Tamandua tetradactyla: one gene and its partners. The protein of the gene in region 2 interacts with the protein of the main gene of each other region in a pairwise test. Links are inferred from orthologs where the notes say so. Each region holds a gene or a part of one and is shown on either strand. Other genes may lie near its edges.

What was found.
Region 1: the proteins of PCSK5 (region 2) and late cornified envelope protein 3C-like interact in binary tests that used the Homo sapiens proteins (3 or more experiments, as listed by UniProt). The two-hybrid records come from large-scale screens. The link is inferred for Tamandua tetradactyla from reciprocal best matches to the Homo sapiens genes PCSK5 and LCE3C.
Region 3: the proteins of PCSK5 (region 2) and NUFIP2 interact in binary tests that used the Homo sapiens proteins (3 or more experiments, as listed by UniProt). The two-hybrid records come from large-scale screens. The link is inferred for Tamandua tetradactyla from reciprocal best matches to the Homo sapiens genes PCSK5 and NUFIP2.

The regions. Positions count from the first base shown.
Region 1 is NC_135330.1:2,606,216-2,613,498, forward strand, and holds late cornified envelope protein 3C-like, read right to left. Parts: upstream 2,382-7,283; 5' UTR 2,296-2,381; intron 1,923-2,295; 5' UTR 1,906-1,922; coding exon 1,645-1,905; 3' UTR 583-1,644; downstream 1-582. UniProt on the Homo sapiens protein: A structural component of the cornified envelope of the stratum corneum involved in innate cutaneous host defense.
Region 2 is NC_135328.1:106,313,831-106,321,456, reverse strand, and holds the start of PCSK5 (proprotein convertase subtilisin/kexin type 5), read right to left. Parts: upstream 3,091-7,626; 5' UTR 2,594-3,090; coding exon 2,402-2,593; intron 1-2,401. UniProt on the Homo sapiens protein: Serine endoprotease that processes various proproteins by cleavage at paired basic amino acids, recognizing the RXXX[KR]R consensus motif. Likely functions in the constitutive and regulated secretory pathways.
Region 3 is NC_135332.1:52,447,393-52,454,864, reverse strand, and holds the start of NUFIP2 (FMR1-interacting protein NUFIP2), read left to right. Parts: upstream 1-4,390; 5' UTR 4,391-4,520; coding exon 4,521-4,815; exon of another isoform or gene 4,816-4,865; intron 4,866-5,999; exon of another isoform or gene 6,000-6,714; intron 6,715-7,472. UniProt on the Homo sapiens protein: Binds RNA.

The DNA.
Region 1 (7,283 bases), on a different chromosome or scaffold from region 2:
GTTCTGGAGAGGCTGGCCCCTCTGCCTTTCACGACTTATTTGGTCCAGGGACGTGTCTGAATATTGCAGGTTTCTAGAAAGTCACCCTAGTGTGTGGACTCTTGAAAGCAATGCAAAGTGAATTAATACTAACACATCATAATCGATGTAGGTCAGTGTCTTATGTCCATCTGTGATTTCAACTCTCATACCGATGGTCTATTGTACTTTATAATATTAAAGATTTGCTCTCCCCCAAATACCTATTCTCCAACCTTAAGATAGCTATTACATCAAGAAAAAAGAAAACAATGCCAGGAGTATCTCACTCCTTTAGTCAGAGCTATTAATGAAAACGTTGTTCTGGATCCTTCTATCGGGCACATCTGTCCTCAGACATCAGCTGGCTCCTGGTTTCCATGAGCTCTTCTCAGTGGTCCTACCTGGACCAGCTGCCCCTGTGCAGAGCTTTGTGTCCCACGGTGGAAACCTACTCAAGAACATTCCAGATCCTGAGTGACAAGGAGCATGGGGGATCAATCCAGGCATGTCAGCTGTGGTCCCTCCTCAGGAGCTGAGATGAGCTAGAGAGGATTTGACCGGGTCAGAGTGTGTCTCACCGCAAACATTCTCAGTGTTGTTGCTTTAAATTAATCACAAAGATTTAGAGAGTCTGTGCCTTTGGATGTGGAAGTGAAAGTAAATGTCCATCACTCTCCTGCCTACCCTGTTTGGTTTGGTAAAGCTGACGAAATGCAATATACCAGAAATGAACTTGCTTTGAAAAACATCGGAGTTCATTAGCTTCAAGTTTACATTTCTACGGCTGTGAAAATGTCCCAATTCAGGCATCAGTGGCGTGATGCCCCCTCTGAACACTGGGGCCAGCGAGTTTGGGCTCCTCCACCAGAGAACAGAGCACAGGCAGCGTCTGCTCACCCTTCATTGGTCATTGTTTTCAGCTTCTGGCCTCTATGACTTCCACTGTCAACTCTCAACTTCTCTGGGTGTGTTTCCGTGAGCTCCTGTTCATTTCATCTCTTAGCGTCTTTGTGTGTTTACCCTGTTATATAGGACCACCGTGCAAGGATTAATGCACAACGAGGCGAGTCACATCTAGGTGACATAACCTCCTCACAAGATTCCTTCTACAATAGGTTTACACTCGCAGGGATGGATTACATTTAAGAACATCTTTTCTGGGGTATATAATGCCTCCAAACCAACACACAGCCCTTCCCATTGACAGCACAAATGCCACCATGCAAAGAACTGACAACTCCTAGATTTCCTGATCTAGATCCAGGATTTTATAACTTCTCGAGGGCATGCTGTCCTGACGGAGGGGCACACGTTCAGCCACGTGGGAGGGCAGATGAAATGACCGTGATCACAGGTGGTGATGAGAAGGAACTTTATTCTCCACCGGCTCTGGCCCAGGCGCTGACAGGTACACGCAGGGGCAGGGCTGAGGGACAGGGGAGGGTCCTGGACGTCAGACGGAAGAGCCTTCTGGGGTGGCTCGATCCCCATGGAACAGCCCCACAGCTCAGCCTGGGGAAGCCACACCAGGGCGTCTGGGGAGGAGGCAGCAGGAGAGGGTCGTCCCTGGAGCTTTCGGTCTCTGTTTCCTGTGAAATCGCTTCTCATCACCGCGCTTCCAGGTCAGCAGCAGCCCCCAGAGCTGTGGCCACAGCCAGGTCCCCCAGACTCTCCCCTGCCACTGTCGCAGCCTTCGGAGCTCTGGCGCCGGCACCGGTGGGCTCTGCGGGGCCTGTGGGGGCTCAGGCAGCAGCCGCCCTCAGCGCTGTGGCCGCAGCCCGAAGAGGCTGGAGGCAAACACTGCGCTGGGCTCTTTGGGGGGCACTTGGGGGAGGGGCACTTGGGCGGGGGCGGGCACTGCTGCTGGCTCTGCTGGCAGGACATCTCGGCAGGAGTGTGACCTGGGACAAAATAAGAGACGCATGTGAGCTCAGATGCTTCAGACCAGTGTCTCCTCCTTCGTCTGCCATCCCACATGGGAAAGAAATGGGAACATGGAAGGCACACAGGCTTTTTCCTAAAACATCCTCATGGATATCAGATGGACCATGTACATCCCTGACAATATGCTCACATCCAGATGGGAAGGATCCCTGAGGTCCAGTGGATTTGTGGTCACAGAACCCCTAACATGTGTCCCAGGGGCTCCGTCCTCTCCACCACCTCTTCTCCCATTGACCGCTATGTGCTTCTTTCTGCTGTTTCCATTCTAGGCTTAAGCCTGTCTTCCCAGAACACTCCCAGCCAAGGTTCTGTCCCCTTCTAGACACTTACCAGTTGCAGAGGAGGCAGGAGAAGTTTGCTCCTGAGGAGGCTGTGAATGAGGAGTGCAGGTCAGCCGCCCTTTTATCCTGTGCTGGTTTGCGATACTCAGCTGAGCATGCTTGAGTGTGCACACCCCAGGGGAGATGATTGCATGAACACTCACAGCTGCCTGACCTCAGTACTTCTTGGGCACATGCCTAGAGGCCCAATGAGGTGACACTGGGACGTCCCTGTGCCTTGCAAATCACTTCCTCCTCAAGTCTGCTCTGGACCTGACCATGCATTCATCCTGCTTCCATGACCTCACACAAGCTCCGTCCCTGGCTCTTGCAGCAGTGGTCCTGTAGAGATGAAAGGGGCCTGGTCGTCCCTGGAGCAGCTCACCACCTAACTGGACCCTTCTCGAACAGAGACATTTGATCTGATGAGATCATTGTGACCACAGAAGTGTTCACAAAGGCTCCGAGCCAGGCTTCAGAGGTGAATCCCGCATTGCCCGGCCACTCTCCAGAGGACGGAGGAGCCACCTGGGGTTTGCAGGGCGTGGTGGCTGCACAGGGTCGTTGGCACGTGGGGATGTGACATTTAGGGTTGGAGGTGTAGGTTTGCAGCCCGTTGCTGTCCAGCATGGTTAAGCTCCAAAGAGGACTTCAGTCCCCACGGAGCGTGGAGACCAGAGCCGAGCTGAAGTGCAGAGGGGATTTACCATTGTAGAGGTGACAAGAAGCACAGCTGATATTTTTTAAAAAGAAGAATAGTGTTGTGCCCACATCCATGTGAATGTGGGATGTTGTTATGACTCTGAGAGAGTAGGAGCTTTCAGAGGAAGTGGTTCATGTGCTCGGAAGAGTTGCACAGAGGAGTGATGGCGATGGTTTTCTTACACGGTTGGTAACGGTGAGGTTAGTGATGGTGGAGTGGTATTAGGCTCATTTGGTAGCATTTACCTCACTATAGCTAAGGTTTATGTAAACGGAATATTGTTTGCCCATTGAGTTTAATCATGTTATTTTACAGATGTAATCTGTGATGATAATGAAATACAGTAGATTTTATTTACCAAAAAACATTACTTTAATTGTCATTGGTTTGTATATATGTTATACTATACAACAAGTTAAAAAAATTGAGACTTAAAAAGTCACATATTTAAATGAAATTAAATACAAGCTCATGGCAGCAAACATCTCTGATCTTCTGTGAGCCTGGAGGACTGGCTACTTGTTTTTAAATCTTAAATTAACAGTAAAGTCTACAGTTTCTGTTTTTCATTCCAATGTACCATTGACTCGTTTTGTGTCAGTGTTTCCAAGATTTCTTTCATAGACACGTGGGAGCATGAAGGATCTTGGAAGGAGATAACGGAGTTTCTGATGGTGGGAAAGCCAGGCCAGGCTTCCAAATAAGACCCCGGATCCCGTCTGGCCGTGTGTCCGTTTTAGCCTGCCTGCTGCACTGGGGAAAGCCATTCGCTTAATGTCAATCATCCTATAAACACTGTAAAGGGCATTTTTTTCATAGCAAACAGGACGATGAGACTGAAGAGGCACCACTGGTGTAGGAACACACTGCGCTGCCAGTAGCTCCGGCTTATAGGGTGGGCGGCAGGGGTGGGGACGACCTGCGGGAAAGGGGGTCTTCGGGAGGCCTGGGCCAGGCCAGATCTGCGCAAGCCCCTGATTCCCGGCCTCACTGGTGACCGGGCCTGGTCTCAGGCCGCTCTCCTTCCTCACTCCGTCCCCAGGTCTGCGTCCTCCCATCCACTCAACTTAAATCATTCCTGCCCAAGCCCTTCATGTGGGACGCCCAGGCTGAGTGTCAGCTAAGTGTCAGCAGAGAGGGTGGACACCAAACCAACATTTCCATCTGTGGTGACTCAGCCTGAAGGTGAAATGCGGGAGTCACAGGGCGGGACGGAGCAGAACCACTTTGTCCAACACCAGCTGCCGAGGTGGATCATTATCTTCCCACATGGTACCAGTTTCTCAGAGCCCATTTTTCAATCCCAATGATGTGTGATTTTGAGTTTCTAGACTTTGGGTATCATACATCTTCCACCGTCAGTGTGACTTAAAACATGTCAGAACATGTCGGAAGAAGTCCTCTCTGTTCCTCACATATTGAGCATGGACTTGCAGCTGGTTTCTTGCCACCTCCATTTCCCGAGTCCCTCAGATTACATTTCTCATATTCTGAAGTTCCCATCTTTGCCTGCCTGAGATGGAGTGCTGTAACCTCACCCCTGCCCTGACCTCACAGCCTGCCCTTTCCCTATCAGAACAGAGACCTCAGTGATCCTGAGAAGACAGAAGATGACCAAGGTCCAGTGAGAATGTCCTGGGAGCCCTGACATCCTGAGGACCAGGGATGATGCAATGAGGAGATTCCTGGCTGGCCCCAAATGAGGATTTCGTGTTTCATAGGCGCGCACATGTCAGCGGTGGGACAGGAAGGTTTAGTTCCAGGGAGAGACTTATGACAAGGCATGTTAGTAACACATGAGTAAAGAAACAAACAAATGAAGCTTGGCCTTTCGCCTTGGCAATGTGTGACAAGATATCACATAACATGATATCGCATGTGTAGAGCACTTGAGTTCCTTCTTGGAGAAGATGAGACGAGCAAGCCTGAAAATGGTACCCTGTGCTGCAATCGAAGATATTTATTCTTGGAGTTTGGTCAGTTTAGCTTTCTGATTACCGGATTTCAGGCACAAAGGTTTGAATTAACAATAATCCTTGGTTCATAAGATGTGCTCTTCATCAGCCCACGCAAACTCCCTTTACTCATTCATTTATCATTATTTAAGTAACAGACGCACAAAAATCTACCACTTCAGTGAAAACAAGGACTTTGAGAATCTTGTATCTGTGTAGTTCTCTCTCATCCCGTTCCTCTGCCTGTACGGTGTTCCTGAATAATGAATTTATCATTCTTTGCTTCTCTCTTTGTTGTTGTTGTTTTTTTTTGCATGGGCAGGCACTGAGACTTAAACCCGGGTCTCCATCATGGCAACCGAGAATTCTGCCAAGAGCCGTCCTCCCACTATCTTCTCTTTGTCTATCTTTTATCACATTTATATGTATTCCTAAAATGCATTACCTTTTAGTTTTTTCTGCTTTAAATCAGATTTCTTGATTTAAACAGGGTTTCGTGAGGCATAATTTACACACAGCAAAATTTACCCATTTAAATATACAATTCTATGAGCTTTGATGGATACATGTAATCATATAAGGAAAACACTACAATCACAATATAGAACAGGGCCATTACCCCAGAATATTCTCCTGTTCTTCTTTGTGCTCAACCCTCCGACAATGCCAGCCCTGTACAACCTCTGATCTGTTTTCTGTCCTCACAAATCTGCCTTTTCCAGAATGTCTTATAACTGGAATATATAATGTAGCATCTAAAGTCTGTCTTCTATCACATGGAATAATGCACTGGATACTAATTCATGCTGTCTCATGTACCAGTAGCTCATTTCTCTGTGTTGCTGAGCAGTGGCCCATTGCACAGATGACCACAGTGTGTTTACAATCCATCGGCTGGACATTTGGGCTGTGTCCAATTGGGTAATTGTGAATAAAGACATTACACAGGTTTCCTGAGACCAGAAATTTCATTTCTCTTGGCTAAATACCTAGGAGTAGGATTTCTGGGGCAAGTGTTTAGTGTGTGCTTAACTTTTTAAGAAACTGTTAAATTGTTTTTGAAAGCAGGTATACCATTGGGCATCCCACCAGCAAAGGTTGAGACATGTAGTCACTCTGCATCGTTTTTAGTACTTGGCATTTTCAGTTATATTTTATTTTCTAATCAATGTGTAGTAATACCTAATTTTTGTTTTAATTTGCATTTCCTAGATGACTAATGATTTTGAGTCTCTTTTCATCTGCATATTTGCCATTTGTTCTAGTTTTCTAGCTACCGGAATGCAATATACCAGAAGTGGAATGGCTTTTAAAAAGGGGAATTTAATAAGTTGCTAGTTTACAGTTCTAAGGCTGAGAAAATGTCCCAATTAAAGCAAGTCTATAGAAATGTCCAATCTAAGGCATCCATCCAGGGAAAGATACCTTGGTTCAAGAAGGTCGATGAGTTCAGGGTTTCTCTCGCAAGTGAGAAGGCACATGGCGAACAAGTCAGGCTTTCTCTCTCATCTGGAAGGGCACATGGCGAGCATGGCATCATCTGCTAGCTTCTTCTCCTGGCTTCTTGGTTCATGAAGCTCCCCGGGAGGCGTTTTCCTTCTTCATCTCCTGTTGCTGGCTGGTGGACTCTGCTTTGTGGTGCTGCAGCGTTCTCTGCTCTCTCTGAATCTCTCTCTCCAAAATGTTTCCTCTCTTATAGGACTCCAGGAAACCAATCAAGGCCCATTCAAACGGGTAGAGACATGTCATCCCCTAATCCAGTTTAACGACCATTCTGGACTAAATCACATCACCAGGGAGATGATCTCATTATAGTTTCAAATACACAGTATTGAATAGGGATTATTCTACCTTTATGAAATGGGATTTATATCAAAACATGGCTTTTCTTAGGGGGCATACTTCCTTTCAAACCGGCACAGGTGGTCTCTCACCGTTACATGTGATATTAGTTGTAAGATTTTTTGCAGACAACATTTACCTGGATGAGGAGGTTCCCTTGTGTTCCTTGTTTGTTGAGAGCTTTTGTCATGAATGGATGTTGCATTTTGTCAAATGCTTTTACTGAATCTATTAGTTTCATTTCCTTTAATTTGATGTGAATACAATAATGTCTCAACTACTCTTCTTAAACTTGCTGGCCTATCTGGAGATTAAAAAAGGCACGATTTTACAAATCATAAGTTGCTCCTGTAACCTAAATATGAGCTCATCCCTTCAGCCCATGAGTACAATGACGCATAATGAATTTATTTGCCCAAATCACAGTAGCTAGAAATGACCACCATCCCAAATAGTCACAAAATATCTCCAAGTCCATTCTGGGAGTCACGTCAGAGA
Region 2 (7,626 bases):
CCATCATTATGTTTTAAATGAAAAGTCATGTATGACTCTTCACTATAAGGCCCTCTGTGAAAATCAGGTGAAGCTTTTGCTGCCACTGGAATATTTAGACGTTGGGTTTTGGTGATAATTTCTCACCTCTCGCTCTGCCAGATTCTGTAATATCTATACTCTATTCAGTGAGTTCAGAAACAAGTGTTCCTGTCCTTACTCGTCGTGAAACATCTTAGATTAAGTTCAGATCTGTTTGAACCAAATATCTGTGAATTAAGACCAGATGCCTGCTTCCAGTCTACCAAGCCACTAAATCAGAATTCAGGGAAATGGGAATGTTAGTTTATTTCTCTTTCCCCACAAGTGATGGAGACAGTCCCTAAAAGGTAAGATACTTGGGGTAGTGGGTCTGGGCCAGATAGTCCTGGGTTTGAATCATGGCCACCATCTAGCTGGGTGACCCTAGGCAGCTCACTTAACTTCTCAAGAGTCTTGGTTTTCTCATCTGCTGTCAATGAAGTCATATGCATCAAACAAGGCTGTTTTGAAGATCAAAATGTGTATGCTCAAGAACTTATCCCTCCAAATATGCAAGGCATATGGAAGATGTTCAGTGTTAGTTGAGCCTGAGAGATGAGTCTTTGAAAAGATTACATGACTACTCTCAGGGATAGCCTTCTCAGTTACATTCCCTGGGCATAGGCAGCACCCAAATGTAAGCTCATGGTAAAAAGACCTGAACAGCCTCAGTGTTTTCTTCCAGAGGAAAAAAGAAGGCTATAGAACCCTAGCAAGACACCGGAAGGGAATGATTCCGCAGATGACAAGGCAACAAACTCTAGCTGGCTTCTCTGGCTTTCTTCCTGATGGGGAGAGGGTGGGGGTCGAGGGTTCAAACAGTGCCCCTTTGCCCTCTCAAACCTCCACAGGACCTGCTCCTCTGGCACATGTCCTCCCTCTGGGTGGGCAAAAAGCACGGCCTCCCGGTCAGGCTCCTCGGAACTTCTCCCGCCACCCACGCTCCCCAGGTCCTTAGCTGCCTCGCTGGCACTCTATCTCCTTTCCCGGTGCCGAGTTCTCAGAGCTGCCAGGGGGTCCCCGTGCTCCAAGACCCGCGTTCCTGGGCCTGGAAAGCAATGACATCAAAAACCATCTGCGTTCTCTTACTTCAGCCGCACCAGTCCGCATCTTTTTCTCTGCGGCTGCCGCGTCCAGGCGCCGAGGGCGCTGACCCCAGCCCTTGCCGCTACTTCCCGCAGCGCGAGCAGTCTCAGAAGCGCGCCTGCTGCGAGGACGCCCCTCAGTATGCTCCCCTCCCATTCCCAGCGGGGAGCGCGATGGAGGGCTGTACGGAGTGTGTGCGGGGGGGAGGGGTGTACTTGCTGGAACCCGCTTACACAGTTCCCTCCACACCATTTCTAGCAGGGGTTCGGGGTTCGGAATCTCGAGGAAACCAGGACGCTAACCCTAGTTAGCCCGGCGGAACATCCAAATCTGTTCCGTTTCTAATCATCCCCATTGCATCACCTCAATTTATAAGCATTTTTTACTCAGCAGGGCGACTCTCCCTACAGACTGCGAGAGGCACCCCACGAAAACCTCGCACCCCGCTGCTGGCCCAACTGTTGCCCCAAGGCTCCGACTCTTGGCCCCGCACGTCTCGCCCCGGGAATGGTGGTTTTTCCGTTATAGAATCCGGTCGACCCGACACGTAAGTTTCCCACGTCCCGCTTCGATCCCCACCATCCCCCAAGTCCGGAGGCCCCACGCGGGTCGGGTGCTAGGGAGGCGAGGACGCGCGGAGGTCTCTCCCCAGATCCGCGCTCACGCCTGTTCCCGCCCCCTCTTTCCACCCCCGCCTCCCTCCTCCCTTCCAGCTCCAGTCCTCGCGCCTCCTACGACCAGCGGTTCTCTCGCCCAAGAGGAAACTTCTTTCTGGGCGAAATTCAGGTCCGAGCAGGAAAAGCTTTCCCTTCCGTGCCGTCCTACCTCTTCCCTGTTCTCGAAAATCACAAGGAGCGGTTCCAGGGCCCCCGAAACACCTTATCCCACCCCCCCCCTGACGCCCACCCGCTGAGATTTTCCCTCAGGCGACCAATGCTCTTTGACTTTCCAGGTCAAAAGGTCCCGGGAGGGTCTGAAACAACTCCAAATTTTTCCAGAGACCCTACCTGTCCCGCGTGGCTTGTAAACAAAACACAAACCCCAGCAACTTGTGTGTGTGTGTGTGCGTCTGTGTGTGTGTGTGTGTGACAGCGAGAAAGAATATCGCCCAGGAGTTAGGGCAACAGCTGCAACAGCACATCTGGAAGAGGGGGAGGGGGTTGACCCCGAGGGCGCGAGAAGCGGGGTTCGCAAGCACCAGTCTCCCCGCCCCAAGCAGCTTACAGGGCCCGAGGACGGGTCAACCCGGCATTACCTGTCCTAAATTGATGAATCCATACTTGCTGGCGATGCGGTTGGCCTCCGGGAAGCCGCCGGCGATTTTGACCGCCCAGTGGTTGGTGTAAACGCGCGTCCTGCACACGGGGAGCAGGCAGCCCCCGAGCAGCGCCAGCAGGCACAGCAGGTCCAGCCGTCCCGGGCAGTAGCAGCGGTTCCCCCAGCCCATGGTCCCGGCGCCTCGCTTCTTCCGTTGCCCTGCTCGTTTGCTCGCTCCGCGCACTAAACGGCGCGCACAACTAACTTCTCTGGCCTGGGCCGCCCGGGCGCGCAGCCCCCCGGCTGCCGCTACTCGCAGCCCTGGGCGATCAGCAAGAGGCGGCGAGTCCCGGCAGGGAGCAGAGCAGCGAGCCTCGCTCTGGCCCCTAGACCATCCCTGGCGCTGCGGAGACCTGTGCTCCCAGCTCTCGGGCCAGCGGGACGGTCGGCGGGCGCTCCCGGGCTCCGGCGCGCGAGGAAGCGGAGTGGGGCGGGCGCCCTCCGGCAGTTGGGTTTCGCTCCGCTGGACTCACGGACTCTCCAACTCGACCCCGCTCCTCCCAGGGCCCCGGAGCGCGGCGGAGGCGGTGAAGGCGGCCGGCGGGGGCGGTGCAGACAGCGGCCGGGCGCCCCCTCTGCTGGCCCCGGCTCCCAGCGCGCGCTCGCTCGTTTGCTGCCTCGCGCTCCCTCGGGCTCCAAGCAGTGCGCGGGGAGTGCGAGCGGCAATGGCAGCAGCGCCGGCTCTGCATAAATGACTGCCGCCCCTAGCCCCCCTTAACACCCCTCCTTTCCCACCTCCCCCTCCTCTTCTCCCTCCTCCTCCCGCCCCAAAGCGGCTGCAGCCAAGCGCCAACCAGGTCCTAGCGCCGTCGGGTTCTCCGACTGTAACCTCCAGGGTTCCGGGCAGCAGAGGGCTTGGGAGGAGGGCTCTGTGTTCGTGGTTTTACCTCCCTCTCCCCATTCCCTCCTGGATTTGTATTAATTTACCGCCACATACCGAAAGACTAAAGAGATGTACACGCTGGTGCGCGTCAATTGCCCAGAAGATTCATTCATCCTCCCTCTGAACGTCCTTAAACAACTAAGTATTTAAGGAGGTCACTTGCGTGTCAATTATCGAACAAGTAACCTGAGCTTTTCACTTCGTTAATTTTTCAGGTTTTTCAGCTTCTGTTTATTTTACACATTCTGCTCCCGAGGGAGACTGCTACATAAGACCTTCAGGCGCATCGACCCTTGCAAAAGGCAAACCAACGTGGTTCCAAAGCCAAGTATGTTGCCAGCTAACTTTCGAAATCGGTGCATCTGACACTAGGCAACGCCACGGGAGAGTAAAATTCCAGCCGTGGAATTTAAGAAGGATGTTTCTATGAATATTTGGTAGGAAAGTAGGTGGAGATGTCGGGCCAAGGGAATAACTTTATTTGTTGGACTGAGTCTGATGAGGATTTCTTTTTCCAGCTTTTCTAAGCCCAGTCCTGTAACAGTGAAAGACTTCAATATAAAAAGGACCACAGAGGAAGTTAGGTCTTCTTTACTGTACCAGGCACTGTACTGCAGAAGGCAGGAAGGATTTTGGATGAACCTGCTTCTCCTTCACAGCCTCTCTGCCTTTTTAAGCATAGAGCTATTTCTTGTGAAAAGAAAAAAGGCTATCTCTTAAGAAATAATTTAACCTATCTTAAAAGTATTCATTCTCTCCTTAACAATTTCCCTCCCCACTTCCGCCCTCCTCCCCCATCCCACTCCTCCCCCTATCCCAGATAACTTTGTTCTTTAGCTTTAAATGTATGGAGATTAATTAACCCACCGCACCTATAGTCTTGGGTAATGAATCTTTTATCTGCCTCCGGCCTCACTTTTCTTTTCCTTTGGCTGAAAAGTATTTGCAGACTCAAAACTCTGCTAGCACCTTGGAGCATCATAGTTTATGATATTTTACAACTTGTATAAGAAATGTTATATTATTTGATCTTCAAAACAAGCCATGGAATACCATTATCTGCACATTAGTGGTGAAGAAGCGGTGGATCAGAACTAAATCGCTTGTAGAAAGAATGTATTCTTTCATTCATTCATTTATTGGGTAATTCAACAAATCTGTTTTTGGTATAGGCTTTTTGCTGAATACTGGAGAAATGAGGGGGAGGGAGGAGGTAAAAAGAATTAGTGGAATTCAGACTCTCTAATTCTAAAGTAAATGTGATTTATTAATATTATTGTGATCTTTATCACTACCATTTATAGGTGAAAAAGCATAAACCCTATGCTTGAGCTTTAGAGTTTGGCACAGTCACCTACTGGCCAGTCCTTTTGTACAGATCCCTTCCATCCTTTTCCAACCTTGGAAACTTGGTGTCCATAGTCAGTCTTCCTTTCCTCCGAATTGTAGGCCTTTGTGTAAGTGTCAGGTGGGAAGCAGAGCGGGAGGGTGTATTCACTCTCTACTTAACAACTTCTCTCCCCACTCTGAGGAACTGCACAAGGCTGCGTCTTGAGTCCTGTGGGTTTTCTCCAGGATTCTGGGGCTGCTATTGTTTAGGACTGCAAAGGTAGTATGAAAGGCTTCTCTCTGAAAGCCATGTTACCTCTGGGCTTCAACTTCTAAATAAAGTGAAGAGAAATCACTCACTGGACCAGCTTTCCTGAGGCCTGGAGACTGTTTCCTAGGAATGGCAAATTACTCATTGATATTTTTTTCTCCATGGTGTCTTTCTCTTTCTCGTTCCACCAACACTCTTGCCTTCTGTGAGCATGCCCTGCTTGGCATGCACATACCATTCACTGCACTGAACATGAGAGAGAATTGGAAAGTGAAGTAGGAAGTGGGCAAGCCACTTTGCCGCTTTGTAAACCAAACCCTGGGCCAGCATTTAGCTTACTCAAAGGGCATATTCTTCCATTTGGACGAACTTGTATTTGTAAGGGGAAAACCCAGCTCTATTAACCAAGGAAGATTTGGAACCCCCTTCATCTGCCAAATCAAATTTATGAATGTAGAGTCATTCATTTTATTGTCTGTCATCTTTGCAGTTATCGTCTGCTTCAGTTAGAAGAGCATTCTCAGGACTGTGATTCCTAAACTTAAACGATAGTGAAGGCCCTCTCCCACTGACACCCAGGCACACCCTGCTTTGGAACCTGCACAGGTGAACTCATTAGTTTCTTAGAGCCTGTTGGCCAAGAATGAAGTTTCTAGATAAGGATCAATAGCTGCAACAAAGGATATCTTATTTCGTGACCTTGGCTGTGCTGGTTATCATAGCAGCCGGATTACAAATACCTCAATAGCCAAAGAGAAGAGGAACTGATAAAATAGCATTAATTAGTATAAAACCATTACCGATATTGGAAAAGAAGCTGAAATCCAAGGCTTGCAGGAATGCTTCTTTTTTGTATTTGGACGATATTGCTGCGTGATTTGACCCTCCACTCTCAATCTGGAACTTGCCATTGGCAGGAAACCAGGCAGTTTCAAGTTTTACTTTGCCTTATACTTAGCAACATATTACATGATAATGAGGCCCTGCTAGTGTTTGGCCTCTTTACCAAGGTCCCTTACAGCTTGGAAAGAAAATTTCAGTGAAAGGCAATGAAGAGAAATCCAGGCAGTTTAGTAGAAGTAGTGTAGAGGAACCTCCACAAGGAATCATCTTGAAATTCTGCAAATGGGAATTATTCTGGGGAGAATTTGCCTCCTCAGTTACCTCATTTATGCCTTTGCTACATGCTTTACTGGAAATTGACCTTTAAGATATTTTCTAACCTGAGATTCTGTGTATTAATGATAAGTTGGTAATGGGCAGTTTGGAGCCAACCAAGGGGAAAAAATGTTACTAGACATTTCATGGCCCAGTAGAAGAGTTGGCACAGCTGTGGGGATCCTAAACAGTTTTCCTGAATATTAAATTCAGAAAGTTTGTCAAATTTAATAATCATAATAATAAATTATTGTAATAACTACCATTTACTAAGCAATGCCAGGCACTGGGCCAAACACATTTCAGGACTTAATCTCACATACAGAGCATCAGAATTGAAAGGGAACGTAGATGTCATATAAACGAACTTCTTTATTTAATAGATAAGAACACTGAGGTCAATAGAAGACTAATTTGGAGGACAGTAACCCTACCTGGGAAGTTAACAAATGGATAAGTAATATAAATAAAATAAAGGAAGCGCTGCATGGACTGAGGATAGCAATGCACTATGAATCAAGGATTAAAACTAAAATTAATCTACTCTTAATTGATTAAGACATGAATAAGATAAACCCTATCAGGAGAATGAAAACTTGTTGAAACATTTCAGATTCGTTAAGTGTTCATATGCGACCATTTAAAATATATGATCTGTGACATGCATGTTCCAAGGGTAAGAGTTTTTCAATGTGTGATATCACATTTACAGCACGATTTTTTTTTTTAATTGTGTAAGTTTTTTTTTTAATTTTTTTTATTAATCTAAAAAAAGAAAAGAAGTTAACACAACATTTAGAAATCATTCCATTCTACACATGCACTCAGTAATTCTTAGTATCATCACATAGATGTATGATCATCATTTCTTAGTACATTTGCATCGATTTAGGAAAAGAACTAGCAAAACAGCAGAAAAAGATATAGAATGTTAATATAGAGAAGAGAATTAAAACAATAATACTAATATATATATAAAAAGGAAAAAGAAAAAAACAAAAACAAAATATACAAACACACAAACAAACAAACAAAAAACCATATTTCAGGTGCAGCTTCATTCAGTGTTCCAACCTAGTTACATTACACTTAGGTATTATTGTGCTGTCCATTTTTGAGTTTTTGTATCTAGTCCTGTTGCACAGTCTGTATCCCTTCAGCTCCAATTACCCATTATCTTACCCTGTTTCTAACTCCTGCTGGTCTCTGTTACCAATGATATATTCCAAGCTGATTCTCGAACATCGGTTCACATCAGTGGGACCATACAGTATTTGTCCTATAGTTTTTGGCTAGACTCACTCAGCATAATGTTCTCTAGGTCCATCTATGTTATTACATGCTTCATAAGTTTAGTCTGTCTTAAAGCTGTATAATATTCCATCATAGGTATACGCCACAGTTTGTTTAGCCACTCGTCTGTTGATGGGCATTTTGGCTGTTTCCATCTCTTTGAAATTGTAGATAATGCTGCTATAAACACTGGTGTGCAAATGTCCGTCTGTGTCTTTGCCCTTAAGTC
Region 3 (7,472 bases), on a different chromosome or scaffold from region 2:
ACAAGGTTTTTACAATCACAAGGGCACAAGAGAAAGGCTATACAATCATTATCAGCAATCAAGGTGGCTGAATTACAGTTCAAAGATTTCAGGTCTTTCCCTCTGTCTACTCAAATATACCAGAAAGTAAAAAGGAGCACCTATATAATAATTCAGTAATTATAATCATCCCTTAAATCCTAACTTCTCAGTTACACACACATTTTAATATTTTAAAGTGTTAACTCTGGGATTTAGTCCCTGAGCTGTCTGTTCTTTACGTCTCTATCTGGTATGACAGAGTGCCAGGATCCACTGAAACAAACCAACCAAAGCAAAAGGCACATTTCATGATCTTTGGAAATTGGCTCTGCTTTGGCTGGTGGTTTCCTTCAGAGCTTAGCCCTTCTATCAAGAATATCAACCCTAGGTGAATGTGAAGTGACCAGGTCCTCTCTGTCTTATATGAACCTACTTGGAACTATGGTATCTGTTTCTTTTCCTGGGCTTGTACTTGCTTCTTGCCTTAGGAATTCCTGTGTTTACAGTAATTTAAATGCCACTTCTACTGATTTAAGTAATCCTTTGCCCAAGGCTGCTTAGAGTTATTTATTACACCATTTTAGTTGTCCACAAATTGCCTGCAGGGCAAGTTCTGGCAGGGTCAACCTGTGTCAGTCTTTCAAGCTGCCAACCCATATGCCCATTCTGGCTTACTCTTTTTCTTCCTGGGCAGGGCCAGGGACCCACAATAAGAGCACATGCTGGCTCCAAACCATGCTGGGGAGGAGGTGGGAGAGGGGCAAGCAAGGGCTCCATGATTTAGTCCTACCATTTTAAAGCTGTGTTTCATTGATTCGGTATTTACCCAGTTATTGCAATTCTTTAACTGTTTTCTGTTGTTTTGACAAAAGTGGCTCTGCCAGTTTTTTAAAGTTGTTCAAAGATTCTGTTGGGAATGGCACCCTTGGGCATCTTATACCACCATCTTGGTTGAATGGAAGCCCTCTTATTGTTTTTTGTTTATGGTAGAAACATACATCCAACATAAACTTTCACATGTTAACCATGCCCAAACATAGCCTACAGTGGGATTAATTGCATTCACAGTGTTATGCTGTCCTCACTACTATCCATTTCCGGACCATTCCCACCACTCCCAACAGAAACCCTTCACTCATTATGCACTAACTCCCCATTTTCCTCTCACCGCTACCCCTGTTAACTGTACTCTATTGTCTGTCTGTATGAATTTGCATAGTCTAGCTATTCCATGTGTTGTAGTTTGCTAGCTGCTGGAATGCAATATACCAGAAACAGATTGGCTTTTAAAAAGGGGAATTTAATAAGTTGCTAGTCTACAGTTCTAAGGCTGAGAAAATGTCCCAATTAGGACAAGTCTATAGAAATGTCCAATCAAATGCATCCAGGGAAAGATACCTTGGTTCAAGAAGGCCGATGAAGCTCAGGGTTTCTCTCTCAAGTGGAAGGCACATGGCGAACATAGTCAGAGTTACTCTCTCATCTGGAAAGGCACATGGTGAACACCGTTAGGGTTCCTCTCTCATCTGGAAGGGTACATGGTGAACATGGCGTCATCTGCTAGCTTCTTCTCCTGGCTTCCTGTTTCATGAAGCTCCCCGGGAGGCATTTTCCTTCTTCATCTCCAAAGGTCACTGGCGGGTAGACTCTGCCTCGTGGTGCTACAGCATTCTCTGCTCTCTTGAAATCTCTTTCATTCTCCAAAATGTTTCCTCTTTTATAGGACTCCAGAAACCCATCAAGACCCACCCAAATGGGCAGAGACATGTCATCAACTAATCCAGTTTAACAACCACTCTTGATTAAGTCACATCTCCATGGCGATGATCTGATTATAGTTTCAAACATCCAGTATTGAACAGGGATTATTCTATCTTTATGAAATGGGATTTTGATTAAAACATGACTTTTCTAGGGGACATACATCCTTTCAAACCAGCATACCATGTAAATGGAAAAATATAATATTTGTCCCTTTGTGTCTGACTTATTTCATTCAACATAATGTATTCGAGGTTCAACCATATTAGCATGTATTAGAACTCCATTCCTATTTAAGGCTAAATAATATTTCATTGTAAGTATGTGCCACATTTTGTTTAGTCATCCATTGATGGCCTTTTGGGTTGCTTCTACTTTCTGGCTATTGAAAAAAAATTAATTTCATTAAAAACAATAATGTTTGCATTATAAAACATAACTATTTCACAGAGTTTGAAAGTATTTGAAAGATAGAGAAAAAAAAATTCCACCATTCTGTATTTCCTTCTTGTGCTTTTTTTTTCCTTAATGCAGAGTCTTTCCTAAAAATAGGCTCGAAATCAGTAGACCCACTTATTTTCTTTTCATGGAGGTTTGGTATTATGGCATTATAATAATTAAATATTTTAAATACATGGCAAATCTCAAATATAATTTACATGAAACTACTTTAGAAAAATAGAAAAATCAGCGGAAGAAAGGTATTCATTTTACTCTTGTGTTTCCATTCTTGTTTTAAAAAATATTCATGTTTTTATAAGGTTATGATCCTAGTGTACATAGAATTTAATAGTCTGCATTTGTTTTACATTACATCACAAGCCTTTCTTCATATTTCTATATACTAGTAAGACAACATTCATAGTAACTGGAGCATCTGACAGCAACATTTAGTTTCCTAAATTCTATAGAACTGTTGAAGAAATTAAGGCAGGTGAAGGTGTGAGAAGTCAGAAACTCAGGAGTGCTACTGGTTTGCCTGCAAGTATAACGTGGAAAATGTAGAAAGAGAAGGTAGAGCTCAAGAATTCTTGCCTTCCAACTAAATGCCTGAGTCATAAAAAGAACATAGGGCATATTATCATAATCCTAAATGCTATATACACTTTTATTTTTCTTTCAATGGATGGGAAAGTGATGGAAAACTAGTGTGAAAGACATATGACATTATATGGTGTTATTATTAGAACTTTGGCCCCAAAAGTTGAGTAAATGTATTTCCCACCCGTACCCTGCACCCCTCCCCCACCCCCCAAGGGTCTTTGTTTAAAATTTAGCAAGGCAATGCAAACCCTTTCTAAAGAAAACAAGCCAAGGTCTGGTCCTGGTTTTCTGGATTCACTGATGTTTGCTGTTGGAAACAGGCTTTTACCTTTTAATTATGCTTTCACATTGACATCGATTAATTTCAGGGCACAAACTTTTTGCTTTTAAGCTTCTTTGTTCGTTTAATGTAGTCCTGCTGTATAAATACAGGAAGGAATTCAAGCCACATTTAAAAAATTATAAAATAAGGCACTCAGTGAGATAAGTGTGTTATACATATATGTATATATACAGTTCAATAATGATAAAGCAAATATAAGTGTAATCACCATCTAGGTCAAGAAATAAAAATATAACCAGAGGATATCCCTGTGCCTCTCCCCATTACAACCCTCATCTTCTTTCCTAACCACTATTCTTACCCTAACATTTGCTTTAATAAATCAGACTGTGATGTGATAATGCAGGATAATTTAAATTAACTCTACAAAAATAGAAAAAAGCCATAATTCTAGTAGACTTAGCTGTATTTCCTTCTTGTTTATCTCTTTAAACTTCAACGTTTTCAATAAATGCAAGGAAAATGAACAAGCAAACTTTTAAAGTGCTCTTTTCTCCCCTCTTTTGCTCTTCAAACTCTTCACATTCTAAAACCTATCTTGGTTCTACAATTTTCACCTGCAAAGTTTAATAATAATAATTTAAAAATCTCCACTGTAGATTTTCATTCCTCCTGCTCTCCTTTGCTTCCAACTACAAAGAAACAATGATTTAAACCCTTTGTGCCCTTTTAGAAAATTACACAGATACCCCATTGTGGAATCCTATAATCCCTTCGTGGAAAGGAAGAGATTAGCATATGAATACAAAGCAAAATGAATCCAGAATACAAAATGATCTACTGGATTGGGAAGCTCTCGTTTTCTTAAAAATATATTTATTTCCTCTTTTTGTATTGCCCCTTTAGGGTTAAAGGAATTGAGCTTCCCCTCTGGTTATCCGGAAAAGGATTTAAAAAAAAAAAAAAAAGCCAACAGATTCTAGGGTTCAAAACCAACAGATGGCTCCCAGCGCCAGTGGAATCTGCTCCATTCGACTTGGGCTTGCTTGCCGGCGAAGAGTGCAGAAAGTGCTGATAGCATACTGCGCGGTGAAAGAGAGAAAGCGACAGAAGAGAGAGCCATAGTGCTGACGTTGAAGGCCCGGCCCTGTGAGGTTGCATAGGGTAAGTGGCGTTGGCCAGGAGGCAGTGGCTAAGGGGAAGGAAAGAGGATTTGGGCTAGGGGGCGGGGCCTGTGGCGCAACCTGGTTCCTGATTGTTGGAGCGCGGCTGCCAATCTCGTAGAATCGCTCAGTTAACCAGTGCGCTGGCGAGACGCTCTCAGATATACTGAGTGAGCCCTAAGAAGCAGTCTCAGATCCTGACGGTGCAGCAGCCTGCAGCCTCAGCCAGGGAGTCCCAGCCGCTTTCAATGGAGGAGAAGCCCGGCCAGCCACAGCCTCAACACCATCACAGCCACCACCATCCGCACCATCACCCGCAGCAGCAGCAGCAGCAACAGCAGCAGCAGCAGCAGCCGCACCACCACCACCATTATTATTTCTACAACCACAGCCACAACCACCACCACCACCACCATCACCAGCAGCCTCACCAGTATCTGCAGCATGGAGCCGAGGGCAGCCCCAAGGCCCAGCCAAAGCCGCTGAAACATGAGCAGAAACACGCCCTCCAGCAACACCAGGAAACGCCGAAGAAGAAAACAGGTCTGGGAGGGAGGACGGGTGGGGGAAGGGGATTGGGGTAGGGGGCAGGGGCGATGGGGGTGGGGCTGGACCAGAAGAGCTTGGACAGTGTTGGGGTATGCATGTGTCTGTGTATGTCCTCTTGGTCTGGGGGTGCCCTTTTCATTCTCCCAAACCTTCCCCGGGCTCGGCCAGGGGAGCGGGTGTTTGCAGCGCCCTCTCCTTCCCCTCTGCACGGGAGAGGCCCAGCCAGGCCAGTGTGACCTTCCCGGCCCCCGCCCCGGCTGGAGGGGAGACCCGGAGGGTCGGCCTTAAAGGCCAGCCGTATTATTCCTTTACTATTCTCCTTGTGGCCCAGAATTGGCCTCAATTTGGGGCCATGATATGGGGTGAGTCTATCCCTCCAAAAAAAAATCATTTGGGGTGTAACTCCGGAAGGCCTAGTGAATCCCGACTCGGGTGGGTGACGCGAGACCCTTTTACAGGCGGCAAGGAGGGTCGGTGGGCAGAGTTGAAGTAATGTCCTCCGTCACCCGCCACCCCAAGCCCACCTGTGGCCTTGGGGTTCCCCGTCTGGGGGCTGGCTGGGACCCCTCGTTTCTCGGGTCTTTTCTACCCCAAACACCTCTTTGGGGTACGAGAGCCTGCGGTCTCTGTCCGAGGCTCCTCCCGGGGCCGGCGCCCCGGGCCCGCTCCCCCCAGAGCCGGCGCGGCTGGAATGTTCTCTCCTCCTCGCGGGGCCGCTTCCTGTCCGCCATGTTGGAAGCCGATTCCTGTCACCGACTCCGGCCCACTGAGGAGCGGAGGGAAGGGTTTCGAGGGGTGCCCGGCGCGGCGGAGCCGGGTGACCCGGGAACCCCGCCTGCAGTCGCCGTTTTCTCCCCGCTACGGGGGAGACCCCGGCCCGTGGCCGCCCCTCCCCCCGTGGCCGGTCCGGGTTGTGTAACCCGGTGGCGGCCGCGCGGCCCCGGGCGGGTCCCTGGGGTGAGGGGCGGGGGCGGTTGAGGTGGGGGAGGGAAGCGGCCACGAGGGGAGCGGCCTGTGCCCGGCTCCGCGCGCCGGCGACCGCGTTTCCCGCTCCCGGGTGCGGCGGGAGGCGCGGGTGGTCAGGGCGGGGAGCCGGCCTCCAGGCGGAGCCGAGAGGGGAAAGAGGAGGCCGCGGTTGGCGGCCGCGGCTTTTGCCGGGGCTGGAGGGTTGGAGGGCTGGCGTGGGGGTGCGGGGGGGATACGTTTTGACTAGAGGCGGCGCCTGAAGGCCGGGTGGGGTACCCAGCGGGAACCGAGCTCCCCGGTCACGAGTTTTTCTCTGCCACTGGAACCTCATCTCCTGCCAGGTTCGCTCACGACTCCGCCTCTGAGGCTTTCGCTTGGGTCTTTGCCTTCCAGCAGCTCGTTTTCAACACAGAAAACAGCTTTTCTCTTTCCGCGCCCCTTGTCGCCCTCCCAACACAACCTCATGGGCTTGGATAGTGTCTTTTTCAGGAGAGGGACTAAACATGTTAGTTGGACCGGGCAGAGGGCGAATTATTATTATTTTTTTTAACCTCGTCTTTAAAGATGAACCTAGGTGGCTCAACCATGAGGTTGGGTCACTACCTTATTGCCTTACATGAGGCTTTTTTGCATTTTGAAATCTGTATTGATCCCAGATTTCTCATTTTTGATAAACATTAAATGGTGAGATGTGAAGAAATGAACTTAAAAGTATACACCCTCGCAAATTTTTTAAAAATAAGAGTTTATAAATTGATGAGAAGTGAGAGAATGATAACGAGTGAATATTAAACCCAGCAGATCAAGTTTGATGCAAGTAGCTATCAAGAGCTGGAGAAAAACTGCTTTTCTTTCGCAGGCTTAATGTACTAGAAGATTGTACTTAGAATATCAGATTTTCCATTTTGTGGGGTGTGTTAAGGACTGGTGAGTTCTTAGGCAGAAAAAATGGTCACATAAATATGTTAAGAATATTTAATCCTAAGGATAGGAAACAGTTTTAAACTTACAGGAACCACATAACACTAAATCTTGTTCAATTTAAAGATGAGAAACCTTACCTTATTAAAGTTGCTTGGAGTGTGTTGTCACTCTTATTGGTCAGGTTGAGTAGTCCTTGCAGGACTCCTTTCTTCATAGAGAAGCGACCCGGAAATAGTATGTTTTATCCTGGAAGGGAATAAAGAGGGAAAAGTGGGTTTGCAGTTTTGAAAAAATTTAAACCATTTGGAATGAGCAGCTTTTCATGTGTGGTGAAGTCACAGTGCATTTGCATTGATATACATGATGCTAATTTACTAGAAAAAGTTGGGGGGAAAAGTAAATACCTGTAATATGTTGAAGTGGGCTTTTGTGACCTATTACCCACAAATCTATAAAGAACAGTTTTTTCAGTCCAGAAGAGGGCGCAAGAGAGGGTAATTGTGTTGAGTAATTTCGGTTTCTAATCTAAAAGCAAGATTGATTTATCAGGACTGAAGTTTTGCTGAGTCCATTTGAAGTGGAGTTAGATGGTTCAGCATGGCAGCCGGCAGCCTTGAATAATGAAAGCACTGAGAGTTATTTAATATCTTTCAGTTAATCTATAGTGTCTACATTTTCCTTAAATACCTAAATGTTCACCCTTAGTTTATAATACTCAGTTTAAAAACAATTTTAAAATAATCAGTTTTAAAAACAAAGTC